Linked DNA regions of Rattus norvegicus. The protein of the gene in region 2 purifies or fractionates together with the protein of the main gene of each other region. This does not show direct contact. Links are inferred from orthologs where the notes say so. Each region holds a gene or a part of one and is shown on either strand. Other genes may lie near its edges.

Evidence for each region.
Region 1: the proteins of Cnot6 (region 2) and Tnks1bp1 purify together in Homo sapiens (affinity purification with mass spectrometry; 3 studies listed by BioGRID and IntAct, with this or other methods). This does not show direct contact. The link is inferred for Rattus norvegicus from reciprocal best matches to the Homo sapiens genes CNOT6 and TNKS1BP1.
Region 3: the proteins of Cnot6 (region 2) and Cnot1 purify together in Homo sapiens (affinity purification with mass spectrometry; 5 studies listed by BioGRID and IntAct, with this or other methods). This does not show direct contact. The link is inferred for Rattus norvegicus from reciprocal best matches to the Homo sapiens genes CNOT6 and CNOT1.

The regions. Positions count from the first base shown.
Region 1 is NC_086021.1:90,540,582-90,544,805, reverse strand, and holds the start of Tnks1bp1 (182 kDa tankyrase-1-binding protein), read right to left. Parts: upstream 2,801-4,224; 5' UTR 2,666-2,800; intron 2,616-2,665; exon of another isoform or gene 1,761-2,615; intron 399-1,760; exon of another isoform or gene 242-398; intron 1-241. Other genes in the region: FACT complex subunit SSRP1, read right to left, coding at 4,085-4,156.
Region 2 is NC_086028.1:34,529,221-34,533,609, forward strand, and holds the start of Cnot6 (CCR4-NOT transcription complex subunit 6), read right to left. Parts: upstream 2,907-4,389; 5' UTR 2,690-2,906; intron 2,509-2,689; exon of another isoform or gene 1-2,508. UniProt on the Homo sapiens protein: Poly(A) nuclease with 3'-5' RNase activity.
Region 3 is NC_086037.1:9,316,652-9,320,296, reverse strand, and holds part of Cnot1 (CCR4-NOT transcription complex subunit 1), read right to left. Parts: intron 2,649-3,645; coding exon 2,418-2,648; intron 1,968-2,417; coding exon 1,827-1,967; intron 669-1,826; coding exon 489-668; intron 1-488.

The DNA.
Region 1 (4,224 bases), on a different chromosome or scaffold from region 2:
GGAGGAAGAGAGCCAGGAGAGGCAACAGGCTTAGCCAAGGAAGTCTATTTCTAACCCAGGCAGTGTGGGACAGGAAGAGAGAGAACTCCGGGAGGAGGCTGAGAAGGTTCCCCACAGCCACATCCTCAACTCTTGACACAACTCTCCAACTCTTGGCTCTGAACCTCCGAATGATCTAGCACATCAGGGAGCCACCTCCACCCACACCACCCCAAGCTCCCTCCTGTGATACCCTACTTACAGTGTCTGAGGCAGCCCTCTTGGGTCAGGAGCCCCACTAGAGGTGTCCACTCTGAGCACAGCAAGAAGGCCAGAAACTCTCAAGTCTCTGGAATCACCTCATGGGAGACGGGAAAAACCCGCTCCTCCCCAACCTGGGACTCCGCCCCACAGCCGGCCCCCCCTCTTCCCATTCTCCTCCCTCCCTCTATGGCTGGGAGTGGCTCCCTACCCCCCCCCATTCTCCTTCCACAACCCTGCCCCCCTCCAGCACTCATGAGCTGTCTCATCCAAACACAGGGAAATAAGAAATAAAAAGTAAACATCTGGAATACATTTTTTCCCTTTAATTTCTCAATCGTTTTAGCTTCAGCTTGGAATTTGATGAGGTAAAGCCAGGGCCTAGTCCTGTTACCATAGCAATGGCCTCCCACTGGATTTCCAGGGCCTAGCCAAGGGGAAGGAGGAGCCGGCCCAGGATGGGCAGGGAGGACTGACTGGGCTTGATTGCATGGGGGTGGGGTGTATAACTGAGGGGAAAACTCCCCGGGGTTCCCCCTTCCAGGACAGTCAGGGAGGGACCTGCAAAGCCTGTGGAATAGGAATGTGTGTGCATCCTGAAGGAGTTTTGAGGGGTGAGAAGAAATTAAACCAGATGATAGCCACATGGTAGTAGCATGTGCCAGGAGCCTCTGGATCTGATATTGTAAGATTTAACAGCTAAATGGGTCTATCACTTTAGAGCTGTGCGACTACTCCAAGGCTGTTTCACTATGTAAAAAAATCGGGTTTTAGATGAGTTTCAAGCCAAACGATGCATGCAAAATACCAAACATGGAAGCCATAAGTAACAGTTGGCCGTTATTAATGTGACTCCATTCAGTGTCTCCCGTGAGCTAACATCCTTGGTAACCACCTCTACCTACTTCTCCCCCTACCCTAGAGGCTGCATTTCGAGACCATTCCTTCATGTCCCCCACCTCAAACTCTTCAGGCATTCCACCCCCTCAGTTCTCTCCTTGGCTGCTGAAGCACCCTCCCACTCACAAGACCACTCAGGCTCTGCAGAGTGGTAAACAGAGAGGACTGCTCCTCTGGTTCAAGAGCAAGGGAGAAGCCGCCACACACTTGGAATGCACATAGCCCTGGAGGGCAACCCAACCCTCTCCAACCCTTCCAGCAACTTCAAAGTTCCCCTCCCACTCCAGCTGGTCTGAGAAGACAGTTCTCAATTCTAAAAGCGACCTGTGGTGCCCAGCCTTGGCAAACGGTGTCCCCATCCCCTTGACCCTGTTCCCAGCTTATTTAAAGAGGGTACAGACTCTGTCAGTGTCAATTGGCTGATTAGCCAACTACCACAGGCTGTTTCCCTTGTATGTGGGTGAATAACGCATGAGGGAGGAGAGATGACAGAAAAAATAAAATTAAATTAAAAATATATACAAGATTGCTTCCTTGTCCTTGAACATTATTGCAAGGGATACTGTGTGGGTGGTTGGAAATGGAGAAAACCCAGTCCAGAACAGGAAAAACCCTCTCACCTGGGGGCTTGATGGACTCTGAGGCTATTAGGAGCTGGAGAGATGAAAACAGGCTCTGAGCCTCCAAGAGGGGAGGTGGCTACGGTGGACAGGCCCCAGCCAGGAGCCCCAGGTAACCAACGCCATGGCCATAAGCTGCAGAATCGCACTACCTCAGGAACTCCCCACCCTTAGTGGACTAGGCAAGCCAAGCAGCCCTGGGAGTCGAGGCTGCCCCCAAAGAATGGAAAGGAGCTAAGTAGCCCCAGCCCTGGATGGGCACTCAGAAGGGCCTGAGGGCAAGCAGGGTGGTCCCTAAGGGTCTCCCGCTGGATGTTCGGCTAGTATGGTCAGGAGGGATAAGCGTTGGAAGAGGGGGGCAAACAGGAAGACGGAACAGCCCAGGGCAAGGGGCTGTTTGGAGGACCTCCTTGGGGAGCTTACGGACACCGAGCGGCTAGCCGAAGAGGAGGAGCAGACGAGGGTGGAGAAGGAGGGGGCGGCAGCAGCCGAAGACTGCGCGAGATGCCAAGCAGCCCGCGAAGGAACAGACTGAGGACTGGCGACAGGGACTCGGTGGGGGCGGCCTGGGGTGGATGGGGGCGTGCCGTGGGAGCCATGGAAGGGGACCGGTGAGGGCAAGGAGGGGGGTCCCTCGAGCAGCTCCGCCCGCCCTCGGCCCCGCCCCACCCTCGCCTCTCCCCGCTTTCTTCTGGCTCACTGCACAGACGCCTTCCACCCCCGCACACACGCGCCAGCTCCGCAGCGCCCGAGCGTCCCCAGCGCCCCAGGCCCTCGCAAACTTTCCTGTTGACCCCCTCCCACCGCTGCCGCCCCAATCTGAGGTCCTGGCTGCTAGGGTTCTTTCCATGCCCTTCCCCGCCCCCATCCCCAGACCCCGCCCCCTCCGGCTGCCGCGCACTCACGCGCTCCCCCGGGACCGGCTTCACTCAGCGAGACACCCCGACGCTAGTGACCGCTGCTGCCACCGCCGCCACCGTCACCACGGGACCGAGCCAGTGCAAGCCCCGGGGCCCCTCCCCTCGCCCCGCCCAGAGGCACGCCCCACGCTTTCATGAATATTCATGTAGGGAACCAGGAGTAGGAAAAGGATGCTGAAGCCGAGTCCGGCGCACCGTATGCAAACAAGCACAGATCCTACATAATTATTCATGACCTTGTAAATGAGGGGCCGGCCCTGATTCAGATTTAGGCGAAACTGACGCAATTTTACCCCAGCGCCACCGAGATGACTGCCTAGAGAGGAAACCGCCCCGGACAGCTTTCCCCAAGCCTACACTGATTACAGCACCATAGAGCGCGGGCAGCACGAAAGGAACCGTTGGCGGACCGAACAGTCTTCCTGTTACACCTGAGTCTTCTAAAAGCTACAAACGACGTGGCCAACCCAGGTGGATAAATTCAGATTAAGAACCATTGTGAGAAGTGAGGTAGCTTTTTTCCTCCTGTTACGTCTCCTTTAAGATCTTTTACACGCAGTTACCAAAGTTTTGTAGCCCTCCCTTGCCGGAATCTTCCCACACTTAACACCACAAACTTAACTCATTTTCCCCAATCCACCTGACTCAGGTTTCCACTCTACAGTAGAAAGTCGATCCTCATTCTATTATCTCAAGCCTTGTAAGACCCTTGACTCATACGGTGATTAAGAGCCGCCGCTGCCCCTGCCCCCTCTGTTGGCTAATGGAGTGGAGTGGAAGGAACTCTGAGAGGCTTCCTAATCAGATCAGCACTCATTTCTTGACTCTCAAGTGGCACAGTTTCAAAAACAAGGATGAAAACCAATGCTTGTCAGCTGGGGAGGACATGATGTACCTGGAGACTTTGCTTCCCAGCTGGGCAGGAGGGCTCTGCCCAGTCAGGGAAGGTAAACACCACAGCATGCAAAGTGGGAAAGGAGACAAAGGACATCGTTTCCAAAGTCAGTTCCCTTTATTAAATTGTTTTCACAGACCAGAAATACAAAATAAAAGTAGAAATAGGCCCCTATTAGGAGCTACAGGCCTGACTTCGCATGACCCCTGCTGCAGCAACTTGAACAGGACAGGAAGCAGTTTTGCCCCTACAGTCAGGAAAGTAGCAAAGTAGGATGAGGACTTGGATCCTTCGATGCGCTGCCAGTACCCAGTCTCTTTCCAGATTGCATGGAGCTTTCCTTGCAAAGCAGAGGTTAGGTGCTTCCCTCAAAGCCTCAGGGAAGTGGAAGCCACCAAGAGCAGTTACTCAGATGGCACAGAATCCATAGACACTGGTACCAAATGAGTAGGGAGCCTGGAGGTGTGAGCCTGGAGGTGTGACAGGGCAAGGGCAGGAATTCTCTTCCTCTACTCATCAGATCCTGAGGCAGAGTCCTCTGAGCTTGGAGGAGTACTGGCTAGTTCCTCTTCATCAGAGTCCTGAAAACCAAAGTTCTCTTAGGATAAATGTGTCGAGTGCCAGCTACCTTCCCAGCCACTTAATGGTA
Region 2 (4,389 bases):
CCTTGAGCACTCGATCCTCCTGACTTCCTCCCGAGCTCAGCTCATAGGCATGCAGCACCACTGGCTTGTGTGGTCCCAGGTATCAAACTCAGAACCTTACACATGCTAGGCATGATAACTAATCTCAGCTGCCAGCTTGGCTTCATCTGGAAATAACTAAAATCCAAGGTTGGGCACCCAGGGGATTTTGTTGATTGGATCATTTGAAGTGGAAAGACTTACTCTAAAATCTGGATCATTTGAGGTCAGAAGACACACCCTAAATCTGGGCCACACTTTGGTGGCAGCTTATATAAAGGGCATGGAAGAATGAAATTTTGGGGTTTTGTTTTTGCCTGCTTGCCCTCATTCCCGCTGGCAAGTTCATCTAACCTGCTGCTTCTTCTCTAGTAGTAGAACCTACTTCAGGATTCCAAAGAAGACTGAGATTCAGGAGGGCTGGAGAGAGCTTGGCAGTTAAGAGTAATTGTTCCTGCAGAGGATTCTCAGTATCCACATGGACTCACAACTGTCTGTAACTCCAGGATCAGAGGATCTGATGCCCTCTTCTGACCTCCTTGGGTACGAGGCACGCACATGGTACAGAGACAAGCCAAACACTCATACACATAATTAAATAAATCTTTAATGCATTCTTTCACTCACTCACTCATTCATTCATTCCATCCATTCATTCAATCAGTTCCTCTACAGAGCCCTGACTAATGCACTAATCGTGTATACACTTACTCAACTAAGCTACTACCTCCCCTGCCCACAGACACAGAGTTTCTCTCATAAGTGTTTTATCACAAATACATATCTTCAGCTTTTCTGCTTAAGTTGATACAGTCATAGGACTTTTCCTGTTGATCTTCAGATACTGAAACACCTTGTATAACTGGGATGGATCCCTGTCAGTGGAAGAATGTCATCCTCTTTGTACATTCTTAGATTTGATCTGCCAATGTTTTCATGCGTTTATTTACATAAGTTAGGAGAGATAGGGATTCATGGTTTTCTTTCTTGTGCTATCTTTAGATGAGAGTACAACTGGCCCATAAAACCAGTGAAGTGGCCCCTCTTCTATTTGAAGGAACAAATCTTATATTTGGCGAAGTACTCCATTTCAGCCTGGGCCTCCTTTATCTTTCCCCATCTGTTCCCTTTCCTTACTCTGACAGTTTTTGTTGCTGTGGCGAAGTCACATGAAGTAACTTATGGTGGCTCATGGTTTCAAAGGCTTCAGTACATGGCTACTGGACCCATCACTTTGGGCCTGGCATGAAGCAGAGACCATGAGCATGTGGAAGAGGAACTCATCCACCTAATGGTGGCTAAGAAGAGAGAAAGCAGAGTAAGGGAACAAGATACATCTTCCTCGGGCACAACCTACTGACCTATGTCCTCTAACTGGGCTCCACCTCCAAACACATCGAGACTTCACATCGAGAATCCATGAAAGAAAAACCAATTGCTTTGACCAGAGTCCTTAGGATCAAATTATTTCCCAGAAGCCTATTAGCCACCAAACCCCCATTGTAGAAGCCTGTGGGGGGACATATATTCAAACTCTTTTTTAAAAGATTTTATTTATTTTATGTATGTAGGTACACCATCACTGTCTTCAGACACATCAGAAGAGGGCATCAGATCTCATTACAGATGGTTGTGAGCCACCATGTGGTTGCTGGGATTTGAACTCAGGACCTCTGGAAGAGCTGTCAGTGCTCTTAACCGCTGAGCCATCTCTCTAGCCCCATATTCAAACTCTTAACAGTTTTATTTGTGTCTTATAGGTAACATATAGTTGAACTGTGGTTTTTTTTGTTTGTTTGTTTGTTTTTTATTCATTTTATATATGATGAGTACATTGTCACTGTCTCCAGGCACACCAGAAGAGGGAATCGGATCTCTTTACAGATGGTTGTGAGCCACCATGTGGTTGCTGGGAATTGAACTCAGGACCTCTGGAAGAGCAGTTGGGTGCTCTTAACCGCTGAGCCATCTCTCCAGCCCCTGAACTGTGTTTTTTTTAACCCATCATTCTTTCTCTTTTCAAGATTTATTTCATTTTTCTAAGTGTGTGTGTGTGTGTGTGTGTGTGTGTGTGTGTGTGTGTGTGTGTGTGTGTGATTGGCCGCGTGCATGTGAATGCAGATGCCCAGAGATCAGAGACACTGGATCCCCCTGGAACTGCCTGACAAGGAGGCTGGGAACTGAATCTGGGTCCTCTGTAAGAGCAGTGCACACTCTTAACCACTGAGGCCTCTGCCAGCCCCCAGACTACTTCATCTAGCACAACCATTGAAGTGCTACGACTAAGTCAGTCATTTAAACGTTTGGGTTTTGCATTTTTCTTGTTTGCTCTGTGTGTCAGCCTATTTTTTGTCTGTTTTGTTTTGTTTTGCTTTCCCAGGACTCCCTATTGGCCGCTTGGCCTTCCTTGTGTTTCCCTAAAGTTGCAGTTGTACCCCATTGTAGTTTTCTTGTGCTGTATCATACCCATAAACAGCTTATCACAACCTACTGCCGCCGTTTTGTCCTCTATATCCTTTGTCCTGTGGGGTGCTAGAGGAGGAATTAGAGGCTTTTCGGGTACTAGATAAATGGTCTACCAACGAGCCACACCATCCTACCTTAACCATAAAACATGAGTAAGAGAACTCATGTGGGGAAGAGTCTGTTACATTTAAGTCAGTTTACCCACCTCATTGTGTTTTCCTCTTAGAAGGGTCAGCTACCATTTTCTTCAGTTCTGGAGAGCTTCCCTTAGCCATTCTTTTAAGGAAGGTCTGCCAATGAGGGGGATCCTGCAGGTGTCCAGGCAGCAAAGCCAACCCACGAAGAGATGAGAATGAAAGCTTGGTTCACATTGACTTTGTCAACCTGGATCAGACTTCAGGGAGTCCAATGCCAGGCAGTTCATTGTCAGCATATTTAAAAACACAGTGCAATCTGGAAAAAAATGTCCAGGCAACAGTCATTCCCATTCCAGGTTTCCAGGCAACAATCATTCCAATTCCAGGTGCTCAATAAAGCTTGAGGTGTGACTACTTAGAAACTCATTTGCAAAGTACACGTGACCAAGACAGTGGGTTCTATAGCTAAAGGGCCTGGAATCTAGTGTGCTCTCTGACTGAGTTAGCTTAGAGGTCAACAGGTTATAAAGTACATGTGTCATCCCCCCTAAGGATGTTTCTTATTAACTGAGAGCTAGGGAGCAAGAGTCTGGGATAAACATTGTAGGGGATTTGGGTGAGGTCTGCCTCTATAGCAAAAGGTAGGTGAGCTCTGCCTCCACAGACAGGCAAAGGGTCACCAGATCATTAACAATATTTACTCCCAGCCCTCTGGGTGGGAAAAAAAAGGTATGTTTACCTCCTCCATTGTGGAGTGGCCCCTGTGTGTTCAACATTCCTGGTTCTCTGGAGCTCTGTGGCCCCAAGGACTTTTGTGCTCCCAGGATGACAGCGGCAAGTTCCCATGTTTTCCTTTACTCAGAGTGTCCTCTTCGCCTTTAATTCCATAACAACAGTTTGACCTGTGTAGGGCCTGGGGGTCTTGGTTCTTCTAGAAACCTGAGGGGTGCCGGTCGTCCTACCCATCACTTCAGAAGAGAAGCCTACCAGTTTCAAGTTGTCCTTTGGTAAGGACTTGCCTGCTTTCTCTCAACTGCTTTGAAGATTTTTAGGTTGGTTTGAGAGGTCTAATTATGTGTCTTATGGATTCCTTAGGACTTCTGTTTGAGAGTCACTCCCATTCTTAGACCTGTAGACTTGCATCTTTCACCAAGGAAATAGTCATTCAGTGTCTGGTTCAAATCTTGTCCTCACCTCCCAGAATGTTTACGGCATCAATTCCTTTCTATACCTTATCCTCAGGGTCATGTTCTAAGACTTAATAGCACTGATTTTAGAACAACAGTTTATATACTGTTTACTCTCCCATACATGCATCCCTATAAAACAGCTTAATTTATAAATAAATTAAATGGTCAATTAGACACAATGAGGTAAATAAAAGAACGAACAACAAAAGTGGACAGTTATTACAAATATTGTGCAAGTTTATACATTGGAGCCGTTATTAATTAATTAATGCAAGGGTTAGCTGAACTTAACACTGTAATACCACAACAGTTCATCTGATAACCAAGATGTCCGCCAAGTGACTAATGGACAGGTAGGATACGACAAGGGGATGCTTTGTATCCTGGTTGGGCTGGACCAAGGCAGCATGTAGCTTCATTTCGCCACTTGGAATGGCATACAGCTTAAAAATTATAAACTTGTTTTTCTTTTTTGTTTGTTTGGTTTTTGGTTTTTTATTTTGTTTTGTTTTGTTTTGAGAAAGGGTTTTTCTGTGTAGCTCTGACTGTTCTGGAACTCGATCTATAGATCAAGCTGT
Region 3 (3,645 bases), on a different chromosome or scaffold from region 2:
AATGAGTTTTCTGTAAGACCATTTTCTTAAAAACCAGGATAGAGACCTGAGTTTTCTGTAAGACCCTTAAAAAAAAAACAACAAACAAACAAACAAACAAACAAAAAAACCAGGATAGAGACCCGAGAACTTATTGCACCTGGACATACCCACGCATACACGCACACAGACATGACAAGTCAACAAGATGGCATGCCACAAAAATACTGAACATTGTTATATGTAACAGTAAAACTCTGAAGCTATACATGAAGATTGAAAAGTGACTTTAAAAAACTGTCCTCTGAGCGCACACACATGTATGAGTGTGCAGACACTCACACAAATATAATTTTAAAATGTTTATGGAACCCAGTAGTTAACATTGCAAACAAAAATCTAAGGCACTTTTCATGGACACATCGAACATAGACATAAAGAGAAACATCAAATCTTCCTACAAGATCAACTTTAAAGCTAATTACTAAAGGAAATATAAGAACTCTTACTTTAATGTTTCTGTAGGTTTCATTCAGAACCATCTTGTTAAATTCAGGATTCTTCAATGTATCAAGAAAGTTTGAATACAAGCTATGAAAGTTTGGCTCAATACTGACTCTTTTCATAACTAGATACTGGGAAACCCAAGGCATAAATTCTTCCTTCACAGTTTCTTTAAGCTCTTCAACCTAGCCAATAAACACGACAAAGTAGTAGAGAATTAGTATTAAAAAAAAATGTAAACAACAGATAAAATGAGGTCTGGGTTCTCATAGCACACAGCATCTGGCTTCTTACAAAACATGGTATTAAACTGTTAGGCTTGGCCTTTCCCATGACACTTCAACAACAAACAACCGTCAGATTTAACAGTGGGTGTGGGCTCTTCTTTTAAAGGCAAGGTTTCCTATGCAATAGCACAGGCTGACCTCGCCCAAACTCTTCAAAACTTTCCCTCAGCCTCACAAGTGCTGCTATTACAAACTTACACCAAAGCCCAGCAGGTTAACGTTACAGATCAAACCTACTTACCTTTTTTTTGTTTGAGGCAGGGTTTGTCTATGTAGCCCTAGGTGGCTTGGAACTCACAATATAGACCAGGCTAGCCTCAAACTCACAGAAATCCTCTTGCCTCTATTTCCCTGTGTCAGCAAGCTCAGCCTGAAACCCACTGTCATGTCAAAGCAGTACCTTAGCAGGGAAGCATCATTCCTTATGCTTTCTAAACCTCTACTTCATGTGCTCACAGGGCCTAATAAGCAATTATAGTAGATTCTGGAAGAACATAAACAAAACTTTCTACCAAAGTTAGGCATGGTGGTGCATACCTTTAAATCCCAGCACTTGGGAGGCAGACAGAATCTAGAGGCCATCCAAGTTAACATAGTGAGTTCCAGGTTGGCCAAGGCTAGTTAATGAGACCTTGTTTCAAAGAAAGGAAGGAAGGAAAAAAATAACACTTCCCTTCTCAGGAGAGCATGACATTATTTCAAAAGGTTACAAGTCACTGCAAAACAATACTACAACAAAGGATACTGTTTAATTCCTACAAAAAAAAAAAAAAAACCTTAAAAAATGTTTTTAAAGTCATGTGCCACCACACCCAGCTAAAATCATACCTTTTAACCTGAGTTTATTGGCTTTAGTTTCTAGACAGGCTCTGCAGTGATAGCTACGTGATAGAAAAGCCACCAGCTCCTTATGCTTACTTCAGCCTCCTCAGGAGCTTGGACTATAGACAGAACAAACCAACTGACTTAACTGAATTCAAAACAAAACAAAAACCAATCCCTCCATCCATCAAGGAAAAGAAGAGAGCATTTCATAAGCTATTACATCATGCTTACCTTTTGTGTCATATTTGACTGTGAGAGATTGTTGAAAATAAAAGCAATTTTCTCTTGAATATTCTCTGGGGGCTCCACAATCCTCTCAGTTTGATCTGTGGCCACAAGCAGTGTATCGATATTCGTTGTGTTTATGGAAGGCTGGAAGTAATAATGCACTGTTAGAGCAGCTGAGGTGTGACTGGGAAATCCTAGAAGACAGAAGTGCTGCAAGTGCTCAGAAGAGGAGAGCACTGGACTCCAAGCCCAGCTTGTGTTCAATTCCTGGCACCCAGATGCCAGAAGGAGAGGACTAACTCCTAAGACCTCTGACCTCCAGATACGCATCATAGGACACATGCACACAAAATAAACAAGATAGAAAGGTAATAAAACATTTAAAAAAGATTACAGAGATTCCATTAGCATGAAAAATGAACAGGGTATATAACTACACTGGTAAGATCATTAAATCCATCCCTGAATTATTACATTACATAGTGCTCTCTGGGACAATGCTGACCTTTATGCTTCCAGTAAAATAACACACAAATTCCCTACTACCTATTCACACCAACAGATCCTGGGAAAGCAAAAGGACCTGCTACTTACTGGCACATCTTTCTTAAAGCTGACTCCTGTTGGCTTGGTGACTGTAACCGTTTTAGCAACAGTGGTGGTTGTTGAGGTGGTCACCATTGTGTTAACCTGACCCGCAAGAGGGGCTTTTGCTGGAACCTGGGCCTGGGCCTGGGCCTGAGCCAGTGCAATACTTCCAGGGGTAGTGATAGAGCCCTGCATTTTCACAGGAGGATCTCGAGACTGTTGTCCATATTCGATGTACTACATGGGCACAGAGGGAAACATACAAAGGCATCTTAATAGAAATCAAGAATTCTGTTTTATGAAAGGGTAAGAATAATTTTAGTTTTCTATTAATCCTTCCCTGACATGGGCAATACTTAAGAGGATACTGAAGACCAATAAAGATAAACTAGTATGTTAAAGTCCTTTAAACTAGCCTGCAAAAAGAAAAGAAAAGAAAAGAAAAGAAAAAGGCCAGTGCAGTCTCAGGGTGAGCTGGAGAAATGGCCCAGCGGTTAAGAGCACTGACTGCTCTTCCATATGGCGGCTCACAATCATCTGTAATGGATCTGATGCCCTGGTGTGTCTGAAGACAACAAATGTGTACTCACACACATTAAGTAAGTAAATCTTTGGGGGAAAAAAGCAGTCTCAGATATCTGTAAATAAAATTCCTTAAACCCTTTAAAAATTTCTAAATTTATGTCAAGCTACATTTGATTGAACCTCAGCATAAACATACTACACTGTGTTTTGTATATCAGTAAGACTCTTAATATAAAACAGAAGAACTATAACTGCAAGCAAATTTAAGCAGAACCAACAACAGTGACTGACACTTTACTTTCAGAGCTCAGTCGGAAGACTGGCATGGGGTTCACCTAATGTTACATCAATCATCCCTACCTAAACAGTAAAACCACAACATGTAATCTCTTAATAACTAAAATACTGTCTGTCTGTCTGTCTGTCTTCCTTCTGGGAGGGTGGGAGTGTGTGTGTGTGTGGGGGGGGGGTGGTGGAGCAAACTATCCCTATGTAGCCCTAATCTGACTTGATTTCAAGAGATTTGCTTACCCCTGTCCTCCCAGTGATGGGATTAAGGTGTGAAGCAACCATGTGCAGCTTAAGTGATTTGTTCAAGGCGTTTGAGGACTCAGGTACAGGGGTGCACAGCTTTAACCACAACAGACAGAGCGAACAGTAATAGGAGCTCTGAGTTCAAGTAAAGACAGTGACACCTTGGTGTTTTTTT